Linked DNA regions of Neodiprion lecontei. The protein of the gene in region 1 purifies or fractionates together with the protein of each later gene. This does not show direct contact. Links are inferred from orthologs where the notes say so. Each region holds a gene or a part of one and is shown on either strand. Other genes may lie near its edges. The genes, in order: chromatin assembly factor 1 subunit A and chromatin assembly factor 1 subunit B.

Region 1 (15,454 bases):
TAAGCACTTTTCCCCAGGGATCCGTTAGCTGCGTGTGGCCATAAGCTACGTAACCAGAACCGTCTACTTTGGCCGGAGATACGCCGGCAACATAAAGCTGGGCGTCATTGGCACGAGCGCGTTGCAGAAGAGACCAATGCAAAGGTCCGGTAGTCATGTTAAAAGCACCAGGATAAAACATCAATTGGCACCCTGACAAAGGATGAACAGCAGAGTAACTACGGGAAGGCGGGTACGCGGTAAGATGCTTGGATTGATTGCGGATTACCTAAGTTACGGTACAGACGAGCCAACTCTTCAAACCGAATGTCGTAGCAGATTCCTAAACCAATCTTCCAGTTCTTGATGTGAAACGTAAGAAGTTCATTGCCAGCGGTGAGGATGTCACTTTCTTTGAATGTCATTTTTCCTTTTACATCAATGTCGAACAAGTGCACCTGTACAAAGTTATTAGTTGAAAATCAGGTCTTATCAACATTTGGGTTCAAAGTTGAATTTCCGCAGCCTGCGGGGCCTGCGTAAGGCGCCCCATTTCCGAACAGTGCGGTAAAACGACGTCGGCGCATGCGCACAATTAAAATGCGGTATTTTCCACATTACGGCATTCTTTGATTAATGGGCTATTTCGATTAACTCAATTTTACGCACTGTATTATTGATCGTAAGTTACTTCAATTTATCTAACTGCCAGTGGCATCGTCAATGCTTCCCAAATCGAACTATCTGCGCGGATATTCCAAAAAGTAAAGTACGTGTGTGACACGTCCAATGAGTCATTCCACGTCAAACCATAGATTTTTAAATTTTATTTTTCTCGCAACGAAACATCTTTTCTCACTGGTATAAATATTGAAATGGATTTTTCACCACGATCTGCACGACCAAAAATTCTGGAAAAAAACACTAGCGTATTCTTCGTTCAATGTCCAATAAAATCCGAAATTTTTATGATCTAGAAACAATGTATTATAGGTGAAAAAGAATGAAAAACATTTTCCGCAGTGTTTGAAAACGTTACGCACGCTCCACAGACTTCGAAAACCGGAATTTCCATGTAGTTGTTGTAAAATATCCGATTTCGACAATGATTAGCAAGTGCGTTTATATTTGGTGTTCTTTGCCAAGTGGATGAAACTCTGACCATCGCTATCTCAGATGTGATTGATAGGGGTGTGCGGGTACCCGAAATTTCGGGTACTTTAACTCGGGTTCGGGTCGGGTTTGCATTGGGTCGGGTTTCTTGGCAAGCCCGAAATCTTCGGGTAGTCCGAAATTTTCGAAAATCTCTGTTCGCTTTAGAAATCCCGGTATTTTTGTAGAAGCGAAAACAGCCACGAGCAAAATTTTCGAAAACTTCGCAATTTTCGGCAAACCCAACATTTTTCAGGAATTCGGGAATTTTAGTAATACGAGTTTTTCGGGTAATCCGAAAAAATTGGCAAAAATACCTTTCTATATTTTCCGATGAATTTTCCTTCGGAATCCCAGACCGTGCAAGTGTTGAAAAACTTTTCCCCATCTCTTTCCGGAATCGAACCACCGATTACATAAATTCCATTTTTTTTAGCTGCAGCTGATAGCGCAAGACTTGTTTCACCCGCGGGAACATTTTCAGCGTAATTTGGAAAATGTGCTATTTTGTGAAATAAAATAATGTCATTGAATTTGTCTCTGCAAGACGGTAACCGGGTCTGTCGGTCGTGAGATTAATTGACCCGCTAAGAATATGTATAGGCATAATGTTGATAAATTTCATAAAAGTTTTTGTCTTTTTCATACAGTCCTGTAAAAAGAATATGGTAAGAATGTCTGTAATAAGTTAGGCAAAATTATTAATTGCTTTCCGTACTTATGTACGATCGTTACTATCGGGTAGTCTTATCGTTATTTTGTCACAGACTTGTCATCAAAAAAGGCATTAATTAGAAGGAGTTGTGAAAGATATAGACGGAAAAGATCTCGAAATAAGAAGCTATTATGAAGATAATTGAAGTTGTATTAAAATAGTAGAAAGCGAAAAACGAACTGGAAGCACTCAACATATGGTATATTAACAAGCATGTACACAAAAAATTGTGGCATCATGTATAAGGAATCTAATCAGAGAAATTAAAATAAATGCAATATCTAAACCATTAAAGACAGTAATTAAACCGAATGAAGAAGTAAAACGTATAGGATTAATACAAAAAAAAGGTTATCAGACGTTGAGAATAAGTGTTGCTTTTATAGTTCGAATCATATAGACCAACGTCACATATTATTATAATAAGTATAATAATATACATAGACTCATAGAGATACAATAGATAACAATACAGTTTATATTTATGAATTGCTATGTGAAAATTGAAATGTATTGAACTGAAGATTACAACAAATTTTGAATTTCTAATTTTTGTTCACATAATATTAGTTGCAAACGTATTATTTGATTTGATTAAAAAGAAAATAGACAAAAAAAAAAAAATTACGAAAAATTGTCGCGGTTTTGTCACATCGTCAATAACACCATAACTCTCAACTACAAGATGCTATAGAGATAAGCAGACTTTCGATTTCAATTTTAGACAGTATACCTATAGTAAAATAAAAAATTTCCCTACTGAAATGACACAACGTTTTTGACACTAGTTCTCCGGCTATTTCTGTTCCGCGTTGCATGTAGAATTGCGCTGTTCGGCAATTTTACGTCAGCGATGAGTGAGCTATGTTAATAGTCAAAATTTGGGGACTCTGGTCAAAGTAAGTGGAATATTATTCGGTCGACAAAAACCATGTATTGCATTCACTCAAAAGTGTACCGGCACACAATGTACTCATAGAATTCATCCCTGTTCACTAGTATTTTCTTGTGTTTGAACACATACTAGTCAGACAAAGCTTCGGATTTTTTGACGCAAGTTCAGTAAACCATAATAAAACAAAACATACTCATATTTTTCAATCTTCGATCCTTCAAAGTCATTGTAAAAATAAGAAAATAGTGATTTTTTCCCAATATGTCGTTACGATAACGTTACTAACTTCAATATCGTCACTCGGGCATTTATAGTATGTATGTATGTATGATATGATTATAGTCAACTCGATTTCATGCATGATCACTGTTTGTTGAATTAGAGGGTGCAGATTTTACCAGTTCCATAAGGTGAATTGAAGCACTCTGGCAGTGCAACGACGTCGGCGCCTTGTTGTTTTGCTCGTTCGACAAAAGAGATTGCTCGAGAGATGTTTGTCGCTTTATCGTCAGTTACGGCAAGTTGTACCAGGGCCAATCGAAGACCTTTAATAAGATATGTATTAGATATATTGACATTATCGATCGCCAAAAGTACAAAATTGTTTCCATGAAATTGGCAAAAATCATCGTACGTACTTGCCATTGCTTTACTTGACTGTCGAGCGATATTGCTCAATGCCATGGCCATGCAGATACTAACTGATAGGTTAGGTCCGATTGGCTATATTATGTGCTACAACCGAATGATGCGACTTATGCTAACTACTTGTAGCTACTGATAAGAAAGAGATGTGTGTGAAGCAGCATTGAAAGACGAGGAATCCAATTTTAGGAATACACATCGATGTATTATAGTATTCTAGATATATTTCAAAGAACTCATGGAAGGAAAGAAGTTTGCAGCTAGATATGTAGTAGAATTTAAATGCAGTTAACATCAACTTTCTCACGTTATTTGAGGTTGAAGGAACCAAGATGTTGCCAAAACTGAAATATCAAATATAACAATTATCAGAATGGCACTGTTGTATTTATTCGTTCTTTCTAACTTGAAAAGCCAATAAAAATATGTGTATTGTATTGATGATAAGGTACAATGTATAACCAGTCATTTTGGTAGAGATGCATTTCTATAAGGTACACCATCCAAAGTTATGGAATGTATTTGAAGCATAAGTTCAAAAAGAAAGACAAGAAAATGTTTGGTTTCATCGAGTACTTCCTCACCAGCATATCCAGCCTTTTGTAATGATCAGTTCGACAATGAATATTATTGTTTATGCGAATGGTTGTGGGTTGTGGATTCGAAAGCTGCTCGTTTGGCCTATCCAAAGCGTCTAAATAATATTTTTCTCACCCCGCTGTTATTCTATTTTCATTGTTAGTGGTTATCTCGTCGGTTTCATTATGTTGGAAGGCACAGTATAGTCGCAAACTTATATTTTGACTTCATTATAGTCAAGGTAGAATCTTAAAAAATGTAACAATTTTTCTTAATGAAGAGTATGTACTGTGATACTTATGTACAAGTCTGCAAAAGTATCAAGTATAAAGCTCAAGTCAAGTCCACTGTCAAGTATAGGATACAGCGGCGATTCCTAAATTAAAAATGAACAAATTTTATTAAGAAAAGTTTATGATACAATTGTTCGTCCAGGGTAGTCATAAAATAAAATTACGTTATGAATGAAAATCATTTTCTAGGTGACCTAGATCTGGACCTTTTATGTTTTTTGCGCTTTCTTCGTTCTGGCGATTCGGAACATCTTCTATCCTTTCTTTTCTCCCGCTCCTTATCCTTCTTTCGATTCTTTCTACTCGATCGTTCTGCCGAACTATCGCGATTCCGGTGTTTCTTAGATTTTTTAGATTTTTTCGGCTTTTTTTCGACCTCGCTACTATCCGAATCATTTCTTTTTCTTGTACAATCGGGACTACTGTCGTCACTGCTCGACCGTCTTCTGGATTTCTTCATTTTTCTCTTTCCACTGGTAATGCTTTCATCGTGTTCTTTATTTTCCTTTCTCCCTCTTCTTTCCTCTCGTTCTCCATCCAATGATTCTACGATAGGCAAACGACTCTCAATGCCTGTGTTATCTGTATCTTTATCCTTGTACTCCTGATACTTGGCAGAGTCTGAAAATTAATTCAACGATATATTAAAGACTAAATCATCAAGTTTTTACTTGACATCGAAAAGTTTTTAAAAGGGGTTTTTAAAAAGGATAATTTCGGAACAACTTGCAATGAAAATCATACGCAATTTTGTAACTTATAAGACATTGTACGATAATCCAGTTTAAAAACCCCGTACAATTAGCCAAAATCTACTAACTTAGGACTTTGCCATTTTTCAGATACTCTTCTTTTGTCACTGCTTGAACCACAGATTCATTTACAGACACGACGTTTCCTCCTAGTGCCATTTTCACTATGAATCTACCCGCGTCGTCGTCGAGACCTTCAATCTGCCCATAGGAATCCTTTTGCTTTCCAGCAATCAGTTTGACAAAAGCTCCTTTTATAAGTTTCAGTTCTTCTTCTTCCTTTGTTCTTGGTTTACTGTTTTGTTTCTGCATTGTTACTTTATCTGCACCAAGTCCCATTCCTTTTGGCCTCAGGGCAGGTATAGATGCTTCGACTAATCTAAAAAAAAGATGCAATGTTTACTTTGTTATGTGAACTAATCATTTCGCATTCAATATGTTATTATATTAGTAACTGGGAAAAGTAGGTTTGACTCCAATGTAGTGTTATTTGTAAATATTCGTACTTCTCATTTTTACCAATTCCTTTACCAGGTTTCCACCCCATGCCACGTAGCATAGCCATTCCATAAGCGTCAATTGGAATGTTCTCATAGTCCTCCAAGGTTGACTGAAATAACAAATTAGCTCTATGAAGGATATTTAGTTCTATTTTTTGTATCCAGAAGTGACCAAAACCATGGATTGGTAATTTTTTTTTGGTAATTTTCAGTGGAACCTAAGGTCTCTGACTTGAAAGAACTCATTTTATCCGTACAGTAGAAGTTTGATAACTTTGCAATAGAATAGATCAAGTTCAACATCGAACCTAATAGCTTTTGTACGAAAATGTTCATGAAAAACTTGATCACGCAACTACAGGTATGAGTAATATTAAAAAATTTAACTCTAAAATGGTGACTGGAAAAAAAGGACAATTGTTATAAATTTAATTAAAACTTGTAGTCGACATATAATATTACAAATGATACATATTGCTGATAAGAATCTCGATGCAGAGTTGGCAAGGTGCGCTGTTAATAAGAAGTAATGTTTAGGAAAGTAAAACCTTTTTATCGTGAAGAATTTGTCATTTGTAGCACCAAGTCTTCTGTAAACCAGTTTTCATAAATGTGACCAGTCAAAAATGCACTGCCATGACGTTTATAACAACCCAGAAATGCGCTTTTTGAAATATTTCTGATTGACCTAGCCTCAACAAATTTTCCAACGACGTTTAACAGAAGTTTGAATGTCCATCTGCAAAGTCGTATATTGTCGACTGTTTACTGGTAAAGTACTCACAGTAGAGGGGATATGTTGTTTGCATGCATGGATATATGCATGGCAAGAAAGATAATTAGGCGGTGATTCAGGAAGTAGCTAGTTATCGAGCTCCTACTATAAATATTTGAAAAGATGTGGTCATAAGGTATTCGGGAAATTATCAAGAAGGAAATATCACCAGAAAAATTTAGACAGACTTTCAAATATTCCTATTCCATTACTTTTGCAGTGTACTGATTTGATCTCATTTTTCCAAATTCATTGCGTTTCATAAATATTAAAAGAATCGTCAACGGTCATTAGAATATTTCTGATTTGTTTGACAGAAAGTATAATTTTTTATACTCACTGAACCCAATAAATTAACACCGTCATTCGAAACTCCAGTAAAAATATTCGTACTTGTAATGTGTGATAAATGGTTGCTCGGCAACTGTAGGAGACCGTTATACAAGCATGTGCCATGAGCGTGAGGTACCGTTTTGTTGGCACAACCTGCTAGGCTAAGCCTCTTGTCGATTTCTGTGCACTCATGTGTGGATTCGAATTACTATAGTTCCGAGGCAGTCAGATTTACGGAAAACTCAGTATGATAAAATATAAGTTTTAAAAATGCCTCTTTGGGAGGTAGATAAATTTTACAAAGCATTTGGTGTAGAAGTGAATATTACTAAGTATAATAAATTACCTCTTGTTCACCAGCTAAGGAGGCGGCATCTTTAACAGGTAAGGAAAAAATACTTGGGTCTTTGCCGTTAGTTTCTGTGCTATGCAGATCTTGTAGGATTTCTTGCGCCGCTTGCTCTTCCAATGTGTTAGGCAGTTTGGATTCTTCAACTTTGACCTCCTGTTTTATCGTTGCAGATTCTACAGGTTTTATGTCAGCTTCGTCAGTGTCCATTGCGCCAATTGGCTCCTTTTTAACCACAATATCAACCACATCTCCATTTGAATTTGTTTTCACTTTGGGCTCAAAGATATCTGCGTCAATTTTATTAACTATTCTATCATGCCAAGTTTTTGATCCTCGCATAGGTATCACCAGCGGTTCATCTTCTTTTTTATCTTCCAAACTGCAAAAGCCAAATATTTAATTTAAGGTTATGTTTACAAATATTGGTATTCCTGTGCTGCTAAAGTGGCGGCTTACCCAATAACCTTTATCGCTTTCTCATCCAGACACTCAATATAATCAATCTTCTTTTTGTCGTTTTGCACTATATTTTTCAAAACTGGCTTTTTTATCGATTTTGAAAAGCCGAACGAAATTTTCCTCACCTCGTCGGCCATGATTGACACTTGACAAGCTGATCGTGGCTTTAGACTGGTCTACGAATCATATAAATTCGAATTGCAACCATAGGCAGTGAGCATGGACTGCTTCTCTAGACAACAAATGTGTCCCACCCAGCCCCCTGACACACGCTGCTAAAAGTGGTTCGCAAAATGTCCCTCGATTCTGCCGCCAATCTCGACCACTAGTGGCGCTAGTAGTTGTCTGGCGTACCAAAGTCAGCCTGTCAGTAATTTTATATGTATAATATATCTTCCGTCACCGCCATGATCAGGAAAGCGCTAATGAATCGAGAATCCGAATAACGCGAACGTGGTATTTTTTTCAGGCTCATAAAGCTCCATGCTCAAGCTCGTTTTGATTTGGCTTCAAAGCACTTCGAAGTGAAGTTTCGGAACACATTGCCGTACACAAAGTTCTCAAATCACAAGGCAGAAAACCTGTTGAATTCCCGCGCGATTTCTTATGTGGGAGGTAGTATCGTGTTATTTATCAAACGATTCAACAATTTGAAGTAAATATTTTCAAAGTTTAATCGGTATCTCACCTGCAACATTTCTTCAATGACATGAACATATTATCAATTTTTTTCATTCTCTATTGCTTATTCAACTTCATGTCAATTTAAGAGGTTATAGTATTGCGAGCAGTCAGTAATGATTTGCCTCGTTAGCATTTATACTTCTATAAGACCGGGGATCGTTTGACTAGCAACAATCAGAGGTGAAAAATTTACTTTAAAAATCTATTAATATTTTCGACCGGGCAACTAATTTTCTTGTCAGATTGTAAAAAATTCTTGACGTGCTCTGGATACGAATATCATTGCAGGTATTTTACAATGAAAGTTATGGAAGTCTCCGTTGAAGAAAAGGATTGCACTAACGAAATAGTTACACCTCCCAGAAAAAAAATGAAGCAAGGTAATTTTAAATACTTTCATTTAATTTTGCGATTCTATCTATTACAAGAGCCAAATTCACAATTTTAAAGTTTTGGACTCTGGTGAACAACATCTTCAAGTATTTGACATGAGCCAAAAATTTTTACAAATCATTGTATTCACAACGCAATTGATTACACAACCTAAGGTCTGTAATAAATTTCAGCAAGAGATTTGTTTAAATCCTTTGTTAATTTTCAGCTCAACTGCCATTTCAAATGGTCAGTTCATTGGGGTCGCCCAATACAATCGGAAACAAGAAGAGGAAGCTAGAATCACCATCACCGGTGGAAAGCAAAAGTCCTAGGACTGGGAAGATAGTTAAAAAACAAAATGCGTCCAAAAGGGCCAAGAGTAGTGAAGTTGAAATTATTGAAGTGGATGTTTCGGATGTGGAAAATGTTTGTGATCAAGACAATGTTAAGGCGTTAGTGGAATTTAGAGAAGAAGGTGCAGCCAAGCATGCTGAAAAAAATCCGATTGATAGTGAAAGTGATGTCAAGAAACGTAAGGATTACGGTTCGTTAAACAGGTTTTTAAAAAAAGCACAGAGCAAAGAATCAAAGGATGATCTCCAACTTTTAGCAATGAGCGATTATGAAAGCGGCAGCAGCAAAGATAGTGATGCTTCATTGAAAGTAAAATTAGACTTACAAACATCAAAGGAAGTTCTCGAGCAAAGCTCCAAGAAAATCGTAGAGCAAAGTTCGGAAGAAACTGCGGAACAAAGTTCAGAATCTAAAAATTCTACAACTCAGATCAAAGAGAATAGCGCCGTCTCGACAAACATTACAGAATCTCAGTATAATATCGAATCACTTCAAAATACTGAGCAGAACACCAGTACTGAGGAGAAGAAGCTCCTTCCTGAGGAGACGAAAAATTCAGACACTGATTCAACTTGTCATCGAAAGGATAGCATACATTCTGATAGCATTAATGCTAAGAATGACGAATCGGATTCTGATACTGGTGGTTCATCATCGGACGAAGATGTAGACGACGACCCAGATAAGTCTAGTAATGAGAATACAGAAAAGGATAAAACTTTAGAAGAAAATGACGGAAGCAAAACACCTAGAAGTGAAAAGTCGGGTGTATTCAAAAATAGAAAATTAACTCCAAAACAGATTGAAAGACGACTTCAGAGTGCTAAGAAACGCGAAGAGAAGCAGCAGTTGAAAATGGTATGTTTCTTTATATTTACTTCACCCAAAGTATCTTTTGTGACTTTTATGACAAGTAAGTAGTTATAACAGTATTATAGTTTTTAACTTGTTCACTCAGGAAAAAAAGAAAAAGCGAGAAGAGCAGCGTGAGAATCGTAGAAAACAGAAGGAGGAGAAGGAGAAACTTGAGAAAGAACAAAAGCGGAAAGAGAAAGAAATGAAGGAGTTGAAAAAGCAAATTGAAAATGAGTGAGTACTAAATACATGTATAATTTCTATCTAGAATGTCAGAACTGTAATAAAAATACCATATACCTACTCGTGTCACAAGACATTGTGGTAAAGATTATAACAATTTTTTTGTGCAAACTTTATATTAGTTTAATCAGTCTTAATTTTTGCAGGCAAAAACAGAAAGAGAAAGAGGCAAAGGAGGAGGAGCGTCGGAAGAAAGAGGAAGAGGCTGAGCGTAAAAAACAAAAGGCTGCATCTAATTTTGCAAACTTCTTTGTTCCGAAAAAGCAGGAAACAAAAGCTCTTGAAGAAGACGGTGTAGTTAAAGATCAAAACTTCATGCCATTTGAAGTCAAAGTAGATATGAAGGTAGCTCCGATAACCAGGAGGAATCTTAATAATGAAACAAAATTAACTTTCGATGGATTGTTCAACAAAGGAGTCTTGAAAAACGAATTATATCTCAATCAGCTCAAACGAAATCGCAATGATGTCGGTAGATCCGGAAGAACTTGGCCATGTGAGACCAAGGATGATGTTGTTATCATTGGTAATTAACTATTATGTATCGATAGGCTTAGGTGCATTTCAATACAAAGTACCCAATTTCAATTCTTCTCCATCGATTTTTTATTCTGAACTGTCAGTGGCAAGGAATACCTTGAGTTTTTAATTTCCCATTTCGTGTCTATCGAAATAATATTTTTCCCAGAATTTTTCCACATAGCTTCGCAAATCCACTTCCAATGGTCTCTAAAATAAGAATGAGCATTCATTTTGCAAAGTTTCAGCCAAATACTTCCTGTTGTACATTTCGGCATGGATTTATTCCAGTTGCTTGTTTTTTATTTTTTTTTTTTTTTTAATAAAATTCATTTGTGCGGTTATTTAGTACTTATTTTTGTCATTGGAAAAAAATGTTAAACGAGCATTGTCAAACCCGTGGCGTAAAAAAATGTCATACATTCGATTCATTCAATTAAACTCAATTAGAAGTGAAGTATAGAGAAACCAATTTGAAAGAAGTAGTGAAAACGTAAATAAAAGCTATAAAATAATTATCCAGGTAATCAGTAATCAAATTGAAAAAATTGTTTTCACAGTGGATGGTATATGGATTATTAAATTTCAAAGGACAATGTCTACGTCAGTTACTACAAAACTCATTTGATTTATAGTTCAGATATATAAGTAAAGATAATAAAGTAAGGGTTATCTATTTCGCACCATGCAAAGTAATCTTGATAATATGTTATACAGATGAAGAAGATAGTTCCTCTGATGCGGTGGACCAAGGGGATGCCGCAGTTGTAGAAAAGCATCATCCCAAGTTCTTTATGTTCGCCGAGAATCGTCGACCACCCTTTTGGGGAACGTGGAGGAAGAAAAGTACGCATATAAAGCCACGGAAACCGTTTGCTAAAGATCCGGTAAGTACTTACAAGTTTTGCATTTATTTATGCGTTTTTGCTTTGGCTTGGCAGACATTTAGTCGGAACGTTAAACCAGAACCGATGGTTTAACCTTTAATACAGAACGTATGTATTAAAAAATGTGGAGAAGAAACGAACAAGATTAACATTTCAATGCATTGAATTATTTCCAAAAAGTGTATTACATGTTTGTCAGTGTCAATCGTGCAACTATCGGTTTTATATTCATCCATGCTAATAATTTTTAATTGCCATCACAAAAAGAACTAAAAGATATGGGTAGAATTATCTTGCGGGTGTTAAACCATCTTTTTGAACGATGAATTAAAAAAAAAAATGATGGCTACATTAGGGTGATCCTTACTTGGGGTGTTGATGATTTTTTTTCAGACTACCCCCCAAATCAACTATAAATAATTCAAAAACAATTTCCCAATTCTTTCAGATTTTTATATCAATTCTAACCCGTGCCTGTAAATGGATGGATATCACCATTTAAAATACACCTGTTTCAGATACATTCTCAGCATATATTTTATTGTAAGAGTGACGATGTTCGAATCAATCTGTAATTGCGAATATTTAGTGAGTATTAGTACTACTATCTGAGAAAAAATTCACATCACCATACCAACCAATCTCGACGAATTGCACACTCTAGAAATTTGACGTTTTCTTTTTATCTATAAGAAATGCAATTGTCTATATTACTTGGTATGATGATGTGAATTTTTTCTCAGATAGTAGCACTAATGCTCACTAGAACCTCACATTCATGGATTTTTTTGAACATTATTAGTCTTACAGCAAAATATATACTAAGAACGTGTCCGAAACACGTGTATTTTAAATTGGGAAATCCTTCCTCTTACAGGCACGGGTTACGGTTGATATAAAAATCTGAAAAAAATTGTGAATTGTTTTTGAATTATTTATAGTTGGTTTGGGTGGGGTGATCCGGAATAAATTCGGCAACATTCTAAATGACGACCACCCTAGGCTACATACTGGTACTGGTTTGTACTGGTTTCGTAATCCAATTCGTTTTCGTTGTACATGACAAGTAATTTTCTGTTCATTTCGTTGAATTTTGATTCCTAACAACTACCGAGCTATCTTATAAACCGTTGCATATGAAAACAAAAATTGATAGAATGCTATTATTTTTAAGGATGAACGATAGGTAATGTTTGATGTTTCTTTTTGTCGGAAAATGCACGCACCCATAAGTGGATTTCGCGACATCGATTTTTACGACAATGTAATTCTCAAATCGTTAGTGCAGAAATTATTTCTAATGTTGGAAAAAACCTTTACCTTGGTTCGTATCGTCATGGGGTAAGAAGATCGAATTTTTATACAAAGATTACATCATAGGTTCATTTCGAAAATCAGTGATTTAATATGCAATTACCGAACGCGTAGAGCCATATTTTTTTTTTAAAGTTTTAAGGCAGAAATTTCTGGCAGTCGATGGTGAAAAGTAAGGTCAGAGAATTCAACCAATGAAATTCACGGCTAAATGATTATATATGTATAAAAAAAAAAACATTATGTTAGTTACTGTAATTTCACAGTGTCAAAGTATAAAGAGTAAAATGAGCGGAATATTGACAGAAAAATAATTAGTTGGGAATATGTTTTTGCCGGAAAATCATAGATAAACTAATAGAATGATCGTACTGATAATTTTCAAAGTGACAAAAAGAATTATACATAAAATTGATACAAAAACATTTATGTTGGATTATTTTTTTTGCAATTTCGCATTTGTTTCATTCTAATTTTGGAAACTAGTGTAACTGTTACTTTATAAATAGATAATCATTAATGTCAAACTATAAGAAAAACAATATTTGGCTGGACAAAAATCAAGCATGGTTAATAGGATGGAAATTTGATTGCGATCAGAAATTTCACATGTATATAGAATTTTCTTGTATTGCATCTCGTATATGATACTGTTTCTACTTGATCCCCATATCGTTTGTGAAAATCTGAAAAAAGACGTTGGGGATTCTCCCGCCCAGTGCTACAATCTGGGAAATCATGAAATGCATTCAAGAGGTTGTAAAAAAAGTGGTTCTGTGACGAAGACAACATATATACAAGTACTTGATAATGATCTTGACCTTGTAGTATAAGTGTTGTAGGTTGTATTTCCAAGATCCACCACAACATATATACAAGTACATTTTGTGAAATGTTTTTTCAGCAGTGTTGACTGAGAAAGAAACAGAGAGCGATAGAGACAGAAATAAAACAAAGAAAAAATAACCGATAACGATAGGTATGTTGTATGGATTGGGTTACAAACTAGGAAAAGATAAGAGAATTCCGTTCCTGTTTTTCGCTTATATACACATTTGATATATCTCTAACATGTGCATCCGTAACATATGTACAGTCTCCCTATCGTTTGATTGCCGCGGCATACGCTGTAAGTACAATTGTCAAAGTATTATTAACGCGTCTTGCGTTTTAATACAACATATTTTCGAAAATGAAACTCTATTCCGTGTTAGAATCGCGCTGCGATTTCAACTATGACGCAGCAGACGGATGGTCGACTTTAGTTTGCCTCGAGATGTAATAAACACCTTTGTGATCAAAGATACGCTTCAGAAATGCATTACTGTAAGAACATACAGCAGATGTTTATCACGGAAATACGTGCCTCCTAACTACTCGTATTAAGGGTAAATGGGTCCCACTCTCAGAAGCAAAAGTTGGGGAACGAGAACAAAATGTTTGGAATTATCTTCGCGCCATCTAGTAAATATGAATCTGGGCAAATGAAAATAAGATAAACTGAAATGTTAACAATTTGAGAAAAGGCGTATGATTGAAACGTATAAAATGTAATACCAAACTCTGGTGATTTTTTTAATCCAATTATAACGTTTTGGGCTTGTTTTGTTCACCATAGCGCTATCTAGAGATAGACTGAAAGTTTTTTTACAATGAGTTATCTCCAGAGCGGATAAAAATATTATAAATATTCTTGAAAGTTTTTGAAAGGAAATGAATTCTCAAAATATGGACTGCGTGCGACACACTGTTCATTTTCTTTGACCTGTACTCGCTGACAAAATAGAAAAATTAGGACAAATCTCGGCATTGTTGAAAACTTCAAGGCTAGGAACTTTAGTCTAGCGGTTGTTCTTTACTTCGGAAAAAAATTGTACAAATTTCTAGTTTCACAGCTTGTCTTCGTACACACGGCTGTGAGAACTGCACAAAATACTAAAACAGTCTTTAAATCACTAATAACACTGGTAAACAGTCGTGTTTTGTTGCGCTTGATATTTGAGTGTTCTTAGTAAAATTTGATGTCAACGATCTTAGAAGTAGGTAAGCGTAGTTTTTTGAAATTGGCTCCAGTTATTTATTTGATCAAAATTTATTTGACTCAAGAAAGCAATATTGAGATGAAAAGTTCGATTTTAATTTTACTCTTTTTCATGAAACGCTATTCGCTCAGTCGGTGCTTTTTGACGTACCCGTTGCGCTTTTGCATTTAACTAACTTCTTCGGTTCGAAAAATTGTGCCCCTATCCTCCAAGGTGGTTTGCCGAAAGTTCAGCCTACTTGAAAACACACGCTCAAGTTTGTGGATCACTTTAGTCCGCCCCGTCGTGTTTGAACAACACCCTTTGATAATGTTCAAAATCGTTGATTGAAACTCAAAATAATTGAACAAGGGATTACTTATTATAATTATTTATAAGTACACGAAGTAATTACAGTGTCTGCTACGATTATTATACCGTTATTTGAAACCAACCAACAGTACCGAATTAAGTTTTTATCGCTCTTTTGTAAACGAGGTTTTTCAAAATCTACCGTAAAAAAGGGGGGAATTTGGGATGAAACTAGTAGTATGGGTTTGAATAACAACATAGTAATTTCTCGGTTAAACTAAACGCAAATAATAGCTTGCACGGGGGTAAAACATCCTCACGGTGTAGAGGAAAAAGCTCGAGCAAGCTATAATAGTTAGTGATGGTAAATTTATTGAACAAGGGTGAGATGAGGTATGATTAAACGAAGAGTGAATACTACAAGAAGTCACACTTTAATTTTTACCTCAATTTCTCGTCAG
Region 2 (16,373 bases), on another chromosome or scaffold:
CTATACAACAGATCATAAAAGACGGTGGATTAATTAAATTTATAAATAATTTAACAGTCTTTATGCCTTACCAACGTGAACTGTGGTTTCTTCACCATCTTCGTTCACCTCATATGCCTTGAAATTAGAATGTATGACCTCTCGCCTCGGGGTGAGGAATAGGCGAAAATTCCTAAAAAACAGTTGAAACACGTTTTTGCATTGTGCAAAAATATTGGGACCAGAGAAGTTGTCATTCATTGGAAGTGAATGACTTATCAATTGTCAACTCACCTGCCATGAGTGTAGAATTCTACTTCGTTTATTTTGTTGAACGGATGATAGCTGTGCTGAGCACCTCTTTTCACAATTTTGTGTTGAAAATGAGATGCGTGTAACGTTTCGTAATATTTTAAATTGTCGTGAAGACTGCCTGTAAAGAAAAATAGCCTGTAAAAAAATACCGATCGATCCTTTAACTAGATTTGACAGATCGTCAATTTTAATTAAATCATCACTAACAAGTGTTGCAGATATTGTGCAGTATCAACAAAATTGTCAATAATAAATCGCGCGGCTTCATGTTATCGAGCCAAAACCACTCGGGTAAATAACCACCGCGTTTTTAATTGTTATTCAATTCAACCCCAACTTTGATCCCATTCGAAAGTCACAAATGACAGTCACATGTGTCATCTGATCTGGATTCTGGCTTCTGATGCACAGATAATAAAAGTCCTACGCCCATGACCAATGGTTTACGCCATTTTTTAGCAGATTTGGTTAAAAATATCAAGACAGCTGCCTTTCTTACTGAATTATGCATGCGTGTACCATACGATACGCTTTTAGGCTTTTCTGCTCGCACGTAAGAATGCGTTGGCGTTGGTAAATCGTATGTGTGGTGTACGCTTGCTTGCTGACAGCTACACATTTACAGGCTATAGAATCCAACAGAATTGTATAGAATTTGCTGGAAAGCGCGTACAAGATAAAATCGGCCCTCGGGTGGCATTGTATCAACAGATTTGGGTACAACATTTGCCCACTGACACTAATAGGCAAATAAATTGGAATCATAGTGATGTCGGAATCAGAAGAAAAGATGTTGCACTGTTATAATCGTGGTTGTGGTAAAAAATATGATCCTGAAAATAACAAGGAAGGTAAGTATTTAAGGTTATCTTCTTTATTAAAATTTAAGAAATTTTATCTTGTTCTATTATGTATGTACACGATCTCGACACAATAGCAAAAAAGTTTACAAGTTTATTATTTATCCATGACTAGGTGATTGCATTCATCATCCTGGACTGCCTGTTTTTCACGACGCTTATAAGGGCTGGTCGTGCTGTAATAAAAAATGTACAGACTTTACGGAATTTCTGAACATAAAAGGCTGCACCAAGTCCTTTCATACGAACGTCAAACCAGCTGACCCGGAAAAACCCGCCGTTGACAAATCTAGAATGAATGAAGTCATTGAAGTGAAACCTCTGGTGAAAAACGTTAACCTAAGCTTGCCCAGACCTCCTTACGACAGCCCTCAAGTTACTTTGATACCTGTTGTATCACCTGCCTTACTGCAGCAAATTGAGGGCCTTGCTGTACAGGTCACAACGTCCACAGAGACTCAAATTCCGATTGGTGAAATGTGCAAGCGGAAGGGATGCAAAGCCTCGTATACGAAGACTCTGGCTGATCAAGAACCGTGCACTCATCATCCAGGTGTACCTATTTTTCACGAGGGGCTCAAATATTGGTCATGTTGTCAGAAAAAGACAACAGATTTCAGCGTTTTTTTGGAACAACCTGGCTGTTCTCAGGGAACCCATCTCTGGCTGAACGAGGTAATTGCGTTATGACGATGTGCCTGAAATCAAAGTTTAACTAATATATTATACATCTCTTGTGATCTATTTTTTCTATGCACGAAAGTCAGCTTTATCTCTTTTCCTTAGGCTAAGAGCAAAACCATCAAGTGCCGAATGGATTGGCATCAAACCGGAGGGTTTGTTGTTGTTTCCATATTTTGTAAGAAGTATCAGCCTAGCCGGTCGAATGTTAGATTAAATCCAGTACGATTGACTGTGGATCTGTACTTCCAAGAGGAAGATTCCAGATATGAGCTGGATGTTGAACTCAGAGGGGTAAAGTTTCACAATTAATAACAATTCAATGTCGAATTATTTCATTTCAGTGTAAATAATTTTGACAACAAACAAATAGCTAAATTTTGATTGGACAACTATATTTCAAGGATTATTTTTGCACTATTTTAGGTAGTCAATGTGGAAGAAAGTAGCGTAAACATGTTGCCGACTAAAGTAGAAATAAAATTGAAAAAAGCTGAACCAGGGACTTGGGCTAAGCTTGAAACCGCAAATCCAACCAAAACGATAGAAACACCTCCTGTCCTACAGTCAGAGTCTGAGAAAGAGGAGAGCATAACCGCACAAGTAGATGCTGTAGACCTCAGTGATCTTTGAAAATGTAGACTGTTTATTACTTAAAGTTATTTAAGACCAGAAATATCAGCACAAATACATTCGTGAATGATTATCATGTATAAATTATGCAGTCATTTATTAATCTTTTATCATAAGTTGCTAATTTTGGAACGAGGTGAACAATTCCTCATTTAATATTTACTTTTTTTTCTTCAGTATTTCATCTAACCTCTCTTATGTTAACGTTATTGCACTTGTAACTGCTGCAACTGATCTTGAAGCTCAGCAAATTTATTTTGCAAGATACGTTCTCTTTCAGTTTGCCTATTGACGTCTTCCATGAGTGCATTCAGTCGCCTTGGTACTGCAGCTTCCTCTTGTGCTTGGAGAAATTTGAAAGTTGATAGTTCGAGGTGAGCCTGTTCGATTTGTTCCCATAAGTCATGTATTTGTTTTGATAATCCTTGTGCACGTGTCTGTGAAAAGATGTTAGCAGAAATTCATAAAGAGGAGCATATTGATAATTTGAATTTTGTTGAATTCAGAATCGTTCAATCATGACATCACGATACAATTCCACAGATATTACTTTACCTGATAGCCTCCAGTCAATATTTTGAGCTTCTTCTCCATTTTCGCTGCACGTTTTGCTTCCCCAGTCATATGAACACGGTTTTCTTCTAATTTTCTTTCACATGCTTCGACCCTATCTTTCTTTGAAGCTAAAGTAGCTCTTGTGTATCGCTTCTGATTCTCCAGATATAGAATCTATAATAAATAATCGATTTAATTTTTTAATCACGTTCATATAATTCTTTGCGTGATGAACTGTAACAAAAGACGACAAAAACAAACCTGTGACAGACATTCTTCCCAGACAGTAGAATAGGCATCTAAACTTAGTTCTCCATGTGCCATTCCTTCCCGCACAACTGCCATTTCTTGCTCCAAAAGTTTACGAGCCTGTGAAAAGGTTATACTTCAGTTAAAATTGGAGCATAGTATAAAAAAGTCTCGATACCAAAATCAACTTTATTTTTTGTAGGGCAGAACGTAGTATTTGTCAGATAGTAACTTCACTTACTTGCGCAAGTTCTTCTGGATCGTAGTCTATGTAGGGATGCTGTTCCAGAAATGCGGTAGCTTGTACAATTGAAGAACTTGATCCTCGTTTGGTAATTGTAGTCACTGGGTTTTCCAGCGAGTCGTACTGAAGCATTGTGATCATTTCTCTCTTTATTAATTCTTCGGCCTGAAATGAATATTTAATATTTTGAATTTTCATAATCAACATTTACTGCTACATTTGATTATTGGACTATTTTCTGTTTCAATACCCTCTGCAAGTCCGTTAGTGGACTATCCATAAGCGGTCGCAAGATGTTCATATTGATGTCTACGGGTCTGGGCATATCTCGTTGGATCACTTGTGATCTTTGAGCAAGATCCCTTTTTTCTGAACAATAATCAATCAAATTTTCATGACTTTTGGATGAAATATAATTTTGAGCAAATTGATAGTTACTTCTGGATTACGAAACTTACGCTGCTCAATTATTTCCTGTTGACGTCTAGCATCAATGTCAGCTTGATCTTCTATTATATTGTCTGAAGACTCGTTTCCTTTTTCATCATCTCCTTCACCTTCAGGAACAACTATTTCATAATCATTCCGAGGTGTGGGTAAAGTACTTAATCCAGCACGTAGCTGTTCTTTCACCTAATAAAAAAAAATGAAAACTGTAATTCTACTATGGAATCAGCTGATGTGCTGATGAATTGCTGATCTTTTCGGGTACAGCTCACTATTCTCATAATTTGAGAATACCTGCTTGTGAAGAGCAGGGGTCTCTGAACCTTCCAGTCCTTCTTCTGGATTGATACTCAGTTTATCGCGAACAGGTGTCGGTACCAGAGCTCCAGCTTGACTTCGTGTAGATGTTGGCGTATTGAACGAATTTGTAGGTGTACCGTCAGTGCGTTGTGAGCGGAATGGCGTTGCCAATACAGTGTTGGGTGTAGCCACAACATTATTAGCAGGTAAAATACTGCTGAAATCCGAACTGTGTAGCGGTGTATTCAAACCACCTGCAAAGTTGATTTACAAAACATGTGGTAACAGTTTTTAATAACGTTATTGCAAGATTTGTAATCTAAAGACGTAATTTCATGAAAACGAAGTTCACCTTTTAGAGGTGTGTCAACATGGGTCAAAGCCATCACATTTTGAGCCTCCTGGAGAATTCTGTCCGTAGCAGCTGGTGTGCGAGGAGTTGCTGCTGCACTTGGAGTCAGAGAATAGTCCGCCAATAAGCTGTCGGATAGTGTCACTCCACTTTCTGTTGCAACTTCTCGAGCCACCTAATAAAAAGTATACTACATCATTTGTATGTGCTTATGTTGACTGAAAACAAGAATAAAATTGTGGATGGATTGAATACTCAATAAAACATATGCAACACTTGATACCTCAGAAGCTCTACCAAGCTTGACAACTTGTTGTAATTCTTGATCAGATATCTGTGGCTCTGGCAAGACCAGTTTACTCCTCTTTTTAACTGGTTCTTGATTGTTTAGCATTCCCATTGGAATATCATTTTCTTTTCTTTGCTTGAGCTTTTGCTTGTCCTTGCGTCGCTCCATCTACGATTATTATACAATTATTTGGACCAAATAGAATGAGAAAAGTTGCTCTTAACACTTATTGGTTGACTTCATTCAAAATAGAATTCCACATATTGTACCTCCTCCTTTTCTTGCCTCAGGTCTCCATCTAAATGTTGTTGACGCATTCTAGAAAAGTCAGCTGCTAGGGGATCAACATGTTCTATTGATGTATCATAAAAACCAAGTGCTGGCCGTTTTTCAAATGGTATTTCAGTGTTGTAGTTTACGCCACGTTTGCGTTTGTGTTTCTGAGACACTGTAATTCCAGCAGCTCGTAATTCTCTTCGTTTCTGAAGCGCCGCCAATCGTCTGGCTTCTTCTAACTGCTTCTCCCTGGCCTTACGCTTAGCCTTTTTACCTTGAGTATTTGCTAATCTAGCTCGGGCCTCCGACAGCATTTCAAGTTCTGGATAAAATTAGAGATTATTATCAAGTATTTTCTGAATCAATGAACGTAATGAATTTATTAGTTATAATCGTAATACATGTCAACAGTTACCATCTTCGTCCATATCCTTTGGATCAGGGCGAGCAGGTTTTGTCTCTGGATTGGGATCAATTTCGCCTGGTTTTAATTTGCGAGGATCATCAGCTGCATCTTCTCCTTCTTCTTTTTTTTGAGCTTGATCTCTGAAAATTAAATAGTATTCAATGGAGGATAAGATTAGCGCTAATTCTCTATTACTGCTGACTTTTAAGACATGACTCAATCGTACTTACAGCAAATATTCGTAGCGTTCTAAACATTGGGCAGCGGTACGTCCGATAATTGGAGCTATGGTACGCCATTGTGTTGGCATTAACTTTGCCAAATGCAAAAGCTTCTCGTCTTCCTCTCGACTCCATTCTGTTTTCTTTATACTTGGATCCAACCATTCGAACCATCGTGCTTTACATTGTTTAGCAGACTTTCTGTGAAGCAGTGAGGCTATACGTGACCATTGGTTTTTTCCATATTTCATAACCGCTGCTTTGAGAATTTCATCCTAGAAAATATATATAAATTGCTACGTGTGTATAATTATGTCGGACGAAAAGTTTCCAACTCAACTATTATACAGGTATGAGGTAAAATGAAATGAAGTAAGATATATAGTACAGTGAATTTTGATGCAATGATCTGTCCAGAAATCAAGCATAATTATTTTTGAATTATAACCGAAGAATTTAGAGTGCTGATTTTGAGTATTATCAGCGGCTTTTATCTCGCAAGGTTCGGCGCATTTGAAATTCATAATCGAGGTTAGAAAATTGTTACTTACTTCGGTGTTGCGCCAAACACCACCTTTTATCATTATACGTGGCATTTTGTTTGTAATTTAATTAACTACAAACGAAATAAAGTAAGAAGCCACGAAAATTCTCGCTAGCATGAATTTTCGCTACAAATTGATTAAAGGTGTAATTCGCTCTCAATGAAGTTGATGGCGTCAAGGTGGCGTCAAGAGCCAATGCTACCAACAGTCAGGGTTGCAATTTCTTAATTGATCGACCTCTATCGTGACTTTTAGGAACTAATTGTCTCTACAGAGTTGAAACTCCCACATGCACCGATTTTCTTCATTGTTCTCTGAACCACAGACTACGTTGGAGCGTTTCGCGCGAAATTCTTCGTGCAGTACAAAATCAGGTTATGTGTAGAAAATAATAATCACCGATTGAAGTGTGGATTTAATTTTAATAAAAATCGGGATAGACGAAACACGGCGCAGTTAAAATTATCGTTTTCTCATACATGTTCTTCTAATTAAACATAATGAAGTGTACGATTCCTGAAATATCCTGGCATAATCGCGATCCTGTTCTGAGTATTGACCTAAAACCCGGTGTAAATAAGACTTCGGACGGTAAAATATTTTGGCGTTTGGCTACTGGTGGTGCGGATTCTCATGTTCTGGTAAGTAAAGAGTTTCAATTTTTACCATCGCGAATTCTGGGTAATTGACCTGAATGAAAAGCCTAAATTAGTTTTAAAAGATATTCGATTTTTTCAACCTGAATATTGTGACCAAATAAATATTATTCAATTAATTTGCAATATTTAATCTAGATTTGGCATCTCACAGTAAATGAAGTGGGAGCAACGGTTGTGGAGTTTGTTGGGGACTTGAGTCGCCATCAGAAGGCAGTTAATGTTGTAAGATTTTCTCCTTCGGGTGAAATCCTTGCATCTGGTGATGACGGTGAGCAAGGAAAATGGAGTAATACAGTTTTTAACTCTGAATTATTTAATCCTTAATTTTTTTAATTCATTCTTTCAGAGTCTGCGATAATGTTATGGAAAGAAAGGGGCGAATTTGAACCACCCCCACTTGCAGGGGATGATACAAATCAGAATAAAGAACAATGGAATTTATGGAAGATCCTTCGAGGCCACGTCGAGGATGTTTACGATTTGAGCTGGTCCCCTGATTCCAATTTTTTAGTCTCCGGCTCTGTTGATAATACTGCCATTCTGTGGGATGTTGAAAAAGGGCGAAGCATGGGTATATTATCAGATCATAAAGGATTTGTTCAAGGAGTTTCATGGGATCCGTCAAATCAATACGTGTGCACATTAAGTACAGACAGGTAGTAGAGCATATAGTTTTCGACAAAAAATGATCTTTCTCCCGTGCAAATTGGGCTCACAAATTTCTTTGTCCACAGGCAATGCCGGTTATTTGATATAAACACAAAAAAAACTGTTCAGCGCGTCAGTAAGGCCAAGATCCCCACGCCAGCCAATCACCCACTGAAAGACAAAACTGTACGCTTGTTTTATGATGACACTTTTCAATCCTTCTTCAGAAGACTTACGTTTTCACCCGATGGCTTATTGATTATTGCGCCATCTGGCATTATTGAACCTCAAGAATCTTCTGAAAAGTTGTCCAATGCAACAATTATCTTCTCCAGGCATAATATTAAGGAGTATGTACGATTACATTACATTTATTATCGGATTTTTGTATGCAGAATTTGGAAACATCGCTTTTCTACTAACAGACATGTCTAAACGCGATATCTTTTAATTTTTCAGGCCTATAGTAGTGTTGCCGTCTTTGGAACAATTTACAGTAGCTGTACGTTGTTGTCCTATTTACTTTAAGTTGAGAGAAGATGGCCCGGTATCGATGATAGGAATTCCTTATAGAATAGTATTTGCAGTTGCTACAAAAAGTTCCGTCCTCATATATGACACTCAACAAGTTTCTCCAATTGCAATAATTTCGAACATTCATTATACCAGATTGACAGACATTGCGTGGTGAGTTAAATGAAATGCTGCGTTTCACAATGCACAGCAATACGACATTATTGCATTTAAATTCTATTTGTGTGTATTTCAGGTCGTCCGACGGACGTCTTTTAGTCGTTTCGTCAACAGACGGTTATTGTTCAATAATTCATTTCCAAGACGGAGAATTGGGAAATGTGTATGAATCTAGTTTGGTAAACATAAATGACACGACAGAAACGAAATCTGTGCATTCAAATTCATCCAAATCAAAGCGTAAGACTAATAATGCCGAGAAGACTGAATTCATTATTGATATGTGCAGTGACGCAATGGATATTGACATTACGAAACCTGTGAAAGCATCTGACTTTAGCGAAGAGGCGAATAATGGTAATAAAGATGATAAACTTGTGAAAAACGTCCAAAATACAAAGTCGACAGATGTTGATGACGTAGTTCTTGAAGAGACGGAAGATATAAAACTTGTTTACACAGAAGAAAGTAACACAGAAAATATAAGTGACATTGTTAAAAAAACACCTCCAAAACCAATAGTTCCTAATGTGATAGCAGCTAAAACTCCGCGTAGGGTACAGCTTATCACACTCTCCAGTCCGAGAAGTGGGAAGAAGAATTGACCGTTAAATTTAGGTAATATATACACACGTATCTTTCAAGAACAACATCCAATCAACGACAGTGTCGTGAATCTTCAGTACGTCATTAAAAAACTTCAATCCAAATAGTTTATTATGCTAATTTTGAGCAAGTAAAAGATTTCGTTGTTACAAATGTAGTTAATCAAGGGTAGATTTTTTTATTTCTTGAAATTATGAAAAAATATGCAATATAATCAGCATGATAATTAATCAGTTGAGATTTTTCGCAAAGAATTTCTTCTTATCCACCGGATTCGGAATGATCTGAAATACAAAAATCATGTTCGTTAATAAGAGTCGTTACTTACGTGTGTAAAAATTAACAAATACAGTACTGCAGGTACCAAATTGCCTCAATATTCTGATACTTACCGTGTCTTGTCCTGGTTTCCAGCCAGCCGGGCAAACTTCACCGTGTTCATCTGTATATTGGAATGCTTGTACGAGCCTCAAAGTTTCATCGACTGATCGTCCGACAGGGAGATCATTCATTGTAATTTGGCGCAGTACTCCTTTACCATCGATGATGAAAAGAGCTCTGTAAATAGAATGAAAAAATATTTGGCGATACGTCATTTGCATTTTTATATGAAACATAAAAACAAACATGAAAAAAAAATAAATAAATAAGTCAAACTACCTTTACAGGTTGCGAAGTAAAGCCTCAAATGTGTGATCACGTTACCTCAAAGTATGTCCAAGATCTTCCAAGTAAACTCCATAATCCTTTGATATCTTATGAGTGAGATCGGAAAGCAAGGGAATTTTAATATTTTCAAGACCTCCTTCCTTTCTAGGCGTGTTTATCCAGGCGAGGTGAGTGAACTGTGAGTCAACAGATGCAGCAATGACCTCAGTGTTCAATTTCTTAAATTCATTTAATCGATCCGAAAAAGCAAGAATTTCCGTGGGGCAAACAAAGGTGCTGAAAATTCAGAAAATCTAAATAAATGTCGGTAAATTTAAAAAAAAAAATTTCATTCCCATTCCAGAGACTGTGAACTTACAAATCCAACGGATAAAAAAAAAATACTAAATATTTTCCCTTGTAATCCGTGAGCTTAATTTCTTTAAATTCGCCTCCAAGAACAGCCGTACCTTCCCAGAACGGTGCTTGTTTTCCAACTGAAACAAACGGTACGCATGGTTAATTTAGATTTTTTTTTTACAAGAAACAGGTCAATATGTATTGGAATCAGTGCTAATCCCACCACCTAATCAGAGATTAGATAAGATGATGATACGAATTTAATACACCTGCTGTTAATATTGTCAATAAGGTGTAATAAATTACAATTTCAAATGGTTGGTATTCAAAAGTCCCATATTGAGATGAATTGAGGAAAACGAGATTGAATTCTCGTAAAGAAGATAACTGTACTTTTTTGCTGATATCAATAACTATCAAGTATTCAATGTCGTGACATTTCCTTGATTTCTCATCGCATTATTCTCGCCAGTTTTAGGAAAGACATGAAGATAAATTCGCTAATGAATTTTCGGCCCCAACAAATAAAAATATTTCGCTCAACTCACTGACTGCTTGAGTTGTCTGCAACTGGTGACCCGCGTGTTTGGTACCGGTTGGATATACGGTGCCACCAGCGAACGAGTAACACGCTTCATCCTCACCGAATAAGCCCTCACTTTTCGTAACAAAGCACGAAAATGCGATTGTAACGAGAATAATCAGTAGCCGCATCTTCGAACGATTCTGCACGTACGCACTTGTTACAACGCTCCACTTTATTCTCTCGTTCTAATCTATACGCCCACTTTTTTAATCTTACTTGTTTCTTAAAACCCGCTTCGAAAAAAAACAGCGCCCCGGCGTCGCCGTCCGCCGCTTCGCGCTTGACCTACGAATCAACAAAAAAGGAATACGCGAATCCAAAGTCGTAAGCCCGCTTTCCATGTGACGCATTGAAGATTGGAAGCATGCATCCTACGCACGACGAAGGGAGAAACCCGATTGGTGGTCACTGAATAATGACAACAGTTCAGTATCGATAATACCCGTTACTCCCAAGTTATCTGAGGATTACTGTAACAAATTGATCTATCCAATTCTGTGTAATTCAAACTGCGGCTTTCAGCGTCACAAGAATGTTCGTTATTAGATTTTGAAATACTTCCTATATTTGAATTTGGTACGCGATTATACTGAAATCGCGCGCATGCATTTCTCTTATGTGGATTCACGATACAACATGATTAGGGTGCGTTCCTGACACGAGTAATGCTCTTGCTCAGGCATCTCTAAGAACCAATCGCGTGCCTGGAACATAAGGCCGTCTTAGATCGTCAACTAATCACGTGCGAGATTGTTTAGGGTTCATTTTGAGGTGTGGAAATCCATGAAAATCTTCACAATTAGTTTTCCCCTCATTACTCATGTCTTTGTTATTAAAAATACACTGCATGTATATATTCTTGTCTCGTGGTTCCTATTTCAGGCTGTCGAGCAAGGTCTGCAGAATATCAAAAATCAATGTGTTCCAATCGAAACATCGTTATATTTACTTGCATTGTCATTGAGGACGATCCCTGCGGACGCCGTGAGCGCGGCAGTATGCGGAACGTACAAAGCATTTCCGAATAAACTGGGATCTGAATAATAAACGTGGTAGTACATGTTCAATACGACGATTCCGACGCAGAATAATATTGTCCAAGTCTCCTGCAAAACGCCACTCATTATAACGCGGTTAGGTTATTGCTGGTTTTTTGATCCGCTGCATTAACGACGGGTAGGAAAAAATCGTTTGTGATTAATCGTCGCCTCCATTGGGTCATAAGTAACTTCTAACGTATTATGCGATTCATTCCAGAGCTCAAAGTGTCGTGCGTATTTTCAATATAACAATCGTTATTCGTTTATGATCTCACATTTGACGCGAAAATATAATAGCTCGAATATCGAGTCCAGCTGATCGATCTGGGTTGTTTTGTTCGTGTCGAGTATCGAATATCGGAATCACGAAGTAATACTTGCGACTAGAAACATGGCGTCCGGCCTGGTAAATCGCGTTCAGATTGCTTTACAGAGATTTGATAACATAATTGTGAATATTCTGAGTCGGAGATTTCCTCCAGGTACGGAAGTTACTATTATCCTTTTTCTCAAAGTTAGGAGGGTCGTGTCGAGGCCTAACAATGAAAATACCGATATTCCAACCTCACTTTTTGCCCGTCTTAACCTGGAAGCTCTATTTCACGTGAAACTATATCGGAGCGTTCAGCCGGTGACAAAATCTCGGACAAAATATCCGAATGAATGAATGCCTGTAAATAAATAAGCTGTTAGTGACGTGCGTTTGTTGGCTACATGTCCGAGATGATTGTCATGGGTTTCACTCCATGAAAAGTATAATCAGTCAATTTGTAAATAACAGATTATGTATGATTTTGGTGTGCATGGAGGTCTGACTATCATAATTCAAAATAGCTCGGAGTCGATTGTATTGTCTGTACCAATAGATCATTAATAATTTCAGAAGCGTTATGTGTCGTCGAATTGAATGAGGGGCAAAATTGGCCGCAGCCGATCCCTCGAAGAAGTCCATTTTCCATAGAGAATATTATTGATAATGGTTTTCTGTGGGGTGTTCCCACACATAAGCGAACAATTGAAAAAAGATGGAAACGACGCTTTGGAAACCCTAAGTATATTTCGAAATTGTTGTCACCGAAAACAAACATTTTGACTTGTCACACATGTGGACACGATCACGAAGCTGGTATTCTTTGCAGTGAGTAAGATGATATATTCCCCTGAGAAATCTGTTTTATTTTCTAACATAGTTAGCAGCTTGTATTATTGTGCTGAATCAGAGTAACGAACCAGGTGAACGAAGAGTTTCACTGAATTGTTACGGATTTTTTTGTCCTATCTATGTCTATTATTTTTCAGGACACTGTTACGACAAAGTAATGGGTGAAACAAAAGAGATGCAAACTGCTATTGTGAATGATTTAGGTTTGAATCCAGTCGAGAAGGATGTCATTGTTTTATATGACGGTGAAAAGAGTGAGGAAATGGTAGATTATTGGAAGGTACGATGAAATGCTTTCACTGATGTTACGGTTCATGCCAACTTTGAAAGGTTGTTTATTTGACTGTCTTATGTTATTTTCGTTTCACTTTCTGCTTTTCTTGCAACGTAAACAGAACAAGAAAATCGTGGAGGTACCTAGAAAGAGGCCGAACTGGTTCCAGAAAAATCTACTTCAACGAACAACGGAGGTACCTTCCGACAGTAAAGAAGTTGAGCCCACTCATCTGGCGTAGATACATTTTTTTGTGGAAAACCTTCAGTTCTCTGGAGATACTTCAAGTAAAGTAGAATAAAAGTAATAATAATAATAATAACTTGATAGAAATTTCTCGAATAAACGAGGAGATCCTAATACGGTAATTATTATACATGTGACTAATCGATCCCTTCCATCCGTATTAAACAATGTCAATGAAAGAAGGGAGAATATAAATATGTAGTTAGCTGATTTATGAAAGAAACCTTGATAGTTGAATCGGTTGAACCCCCCTCATTCACCGGTGAAACCAGAAATTTAAAAAATTTTTATAGATTTAAAATGCAGATTTCAAGTTATAGTAGTCGATTACAATTGAAAATCTGCATGATTTTAGAAAGAAATATCCAAAATAGGCTTATGGCCTTTCCTCTTCGCCTCGAGGTTTACGACCGACTATCGAGGGTTCGGTTTACGAGTTTTGGGTTATGGATTAAGGCTGCGCGGTTGGTGGTTTGCGGTTTTGGGCTCGCGATTCGTGGTTTATGGCTCTCCTAGATCCGCGGAAGCGTTGAGAGCTTGAGGTCGATACGTGACTATTGCCCAGCTTCAAATTTCCCCCTACAAAAACCCCTTTGGCGATGAAATCGTCATTAAAAAGGGTATAAAACTCGCTTCGCACCGGGCGAAAATCACTCAAATATGTGAAATTGCGCCTTGTTACGTACAACTTCGCAAACTCCCTGCAATGCCGTTAATGTTTATCGGATGGTGGCGCCGCTAGGGAAAATTGTGCGAATTAATTTTACCGCGGATAGTAAGGCGGGTGTAATTACAAATTTCCTCCAAGCATGCATCGAGAAACTCGTCGTTTATTGCCGTAAAACATGACAACTGCGTTTCATCTGCAATTAAATAAGGACAATTAACGTGCCGGTCAAACCCGCCGCTCCAGATTTCATCTGAACGTCTGATATTACTTTAGACTGATAATTACGTTTGCTGTAATTGGGATCGTCAATGTAATGAATTGTCTGAGAACGCAGTACATGTAGAGAAACTTCGAAGGGAACAAAAATCGCTGGCAGCGTTCCAAATACTTCTATCTTCTTCTACCAAGACTCGCTGAAGATATAGTAGATCTATTGTATATACTCGTGCGGTTTTTACAGGTACATGCATACATTTGGCCTGGAAATAAATTGTTCCAGGTCTAAAAACGGAAACGGTAAATTTGTCTGGAGATTTCTCGCGACAAATTATACCGTTTCATCTTTCTCCTCTTCTTTCGCATCTTCGCGACTGCGCATCACGACATCGGATACTTTTTTTCCCCAATTATTCATGACAATCGTATAGGTATATAAATATATGTAATACGTCGATGCCCCGAATCCGCACGACGATATTTTTCCTTGTAATGACCGCACGCTTTGTGTTACAGCAACAGGTTTTTCGCTCTGGCGAAACGATAAAATTCGCATCAACAGCCTCGCTGTAATTTGTGTCACGCAAGAAATCGCGAAATTCGTTACCAATGAAGGAACCGAACGTCGATTTTCCGTCGATGTCTGGCGATTCTTCAAATCCCGCCCTTTTCGTTTGAGTTAGGACCGGAACTATGCGGATGTTACAGTTACTGCCGTATTCGAGTGTACGCCACGTTAAATTACATCGTCCACTAATTAATCAACTGGTGTATATTTCGATCCCCTTGGCTTTGGGATAAATGGGTTACAACGAACGCTACTCGTTTCTTTATACACCGGATGGTGCAGAGAGCGGTAATATTATAATTGCGCGGGGCTTTCCTTTGATCTCGATTTTGGACTGACCGCTGGTCCAAGTATTTCTTCGCACTCCGGGCAGGTTTGGATTACTTATTTGACTTGGATTATTTTTTGTCGATTCACCCTATGCGAGAAACTCACGTTTTCTCACGCCTTATACGGCTGATTCCTACCTACGGATTCCTTTGATGTTCCCAGGCTTGCTTAGAATTTGGGTAACTGAAAAAACCTCGCAATACAATGTTTATGAATTCTCACGCGAGTCCCTCTCGTCCGAGGATAATATAATACCTTGTTCGTACCGACTTTTCTCGCATATACCCTTTTCCGTGCTGTTTTCAACGTCTGAATACATTTCCGGTTGAAATACATTCCGCTACGTGAAACACATTATTCAGACTTTCATGGGATTGCGGGAAACACACGACATATCTGTTTCAGAGGCAGGCTCGACACGACCACCGATGTACGGGTATAATTGTCTCAGAGTTATTCCCCTTGTTTTCTAGACTTCAGCAAATTGTAATTCTATTCATTATTTTACTATTGATACATCATTCAAGGTAGAGTTTTAAATGGGAGTAAATAACTTATTTATTTTATACATCATGGAATCGGTTTCCACATAATTCTTCAAAACCTTATATCAGAGGGGAAATTTTCTGCTCGGTGTAATTTTGAACTTAACATTAAACTGGTCGTATAAAATTGAATAAAATTTGTACCAGGAAATGATACGAAAAAACGGTCTTTCTTGTTTTAGAATTTCAACAGTTCCTATCGATAGAGAAAAAAATGTGTGTCCGTTACTTGGAATTTTCTTTTTACGTTAATCAGTAATTTTCAATGATAATTGTATAGCACAGAAGAATCGATGATGGCTTAATTTGTAAAGTGCCGCGGTACGTCTATTTATTTCAGCTTGTAAAATATTTATTTCAGTAGATCTAGTTATCTGGTTGCGTTATATATATAGAGTTTTTTTTATTTTCAAACATTTTCCTGGAAGCGAATGTGAATCTATTTCCCATTACGTACAAGTTAATTGCTCTATTGTCAATCATCTCTAAGCCGTTGGACGTATTACGCCCCTTCGTAAGCGAGTAATCCACTGCATCGCGAGACTTTGAGCTGGTGAAATCTCTCTTATGATACTTTCATGCGGTTGGCTCACGGGACTTGGATAAAATCTCATTTCTACGATTGGATATTAAACCGGAAAACGGAAGGCCTCAAATCCTTGTCTCGTTCTCCTCAAAGGCTACGAGTGTATAAAACTTTAATATCGAAGGTAAAAATATTGTTTGCCTTTCGTTTTTTATTCTCCTAAAGAACGCTCGTTCCTGCAATG

Evidence for each region.
Region 2: the proteins of chromatin assembly factor 1 subunit A (region 1) and chromatin assembly factor 1 subunit B purify together in Drosophila melanogaster (affinity purification with western blotting; 3 studies listed by BioGRID, with this or other methods). This does not show direct contact. The link is inferred for Neodiprion lecontei from reciprocal best matches to the Drosophila melanogaster genes Caf1-180 and Caf1-105.

The regions. Positions count from the first base shown.
Region 1 is NC_060263.1:21,166,581-21,182,034, forward strand, and holds the start of chromatin assembly factor 1 subunit A, read left to right. Parts: upstream 1-7,704; 5' UTR 7,705-8,293; intron 8,294-8,401; 5' UTR 8,402-8,411; coding exon 8,412-8,493; intron 8,494-8,714; coding exon 8,715-9,700; intron 9,701-9,800; coding exon 9,801-9,931; intron 9,932-10,086; coding exon 10,087-10,466; intron 10,467-11,176; coding exon 11,177-11,346; intron 11,347-15,454. Other genes in the region: omega-amidase NIT2, read right to left, coding at 1-192, 269-437, 1,449-1,633, 3,140-3,431; G-patch domain and KOW motifs-containing protein, read right to left, coding at 4,437-4,879, 5,079-5,389, 5,517-5,620, 6,965-7,349, 7,427-7,566.
Region 2 is NC_060260.1:4,632,133-4,648,505, reverse strand, and holds chromatin assembly factor 1 subunit B, read left to right. Parts: upstream 1-6,551; 5' UTR 6,552-6,852; coding exon 6,853-6,993; intron 6,994-7,146; coding exon 7,147-7,279; intron 7,280-7,357; coding exon 7,358-7,667; intron 7,668-7,745; coding exon 7,746-8,009; intron 8,010-8,118; coding exon 8,119-8,346; intron 8,347-8,428; coding exon 8,429-8,957; 3' UTR 8,958-8,970; intron 8,971-9,051; exon of another isoform or gene 9,052-9,188; coding exon of another isoform or gene 9,189-9,242; intron 9,243-9,350; coding exon of another isoform or gene 9,351-9,516; 3' UTR 9,517-9,663; downstream 9,664-16,373. Other genes in the region: ADAM 17-like protease, read right to left, coding at 72-172, 274-412, 502-562; cysteine and histidine-rich domain-containing protein morgana, read left to right, coding at 1,064-1,145, 1,270-1,829, 1,941-2,129, 2,262-2,468; cell division cycle 5-like protein, read right to left, coding at 2,675-2,905, 3,024-3,197, 3,285-3,392, 3,514-3,681, 3,767-3,885, 3,975-4,149, 4,258-4,517, 4,616-4,790 and 5 more; peroxiredoxin-2, read right to left, coding at 9,189-9,242, 9,351-9,516, 9,664-9,903, 9,986-10,103, 10,515-10,680; 39S ribosomal protein L32, mitochondrial, read left to right, coding at 11,984-12,074, 12,476-12,730, 12,892-13,034, 13,150-13,269.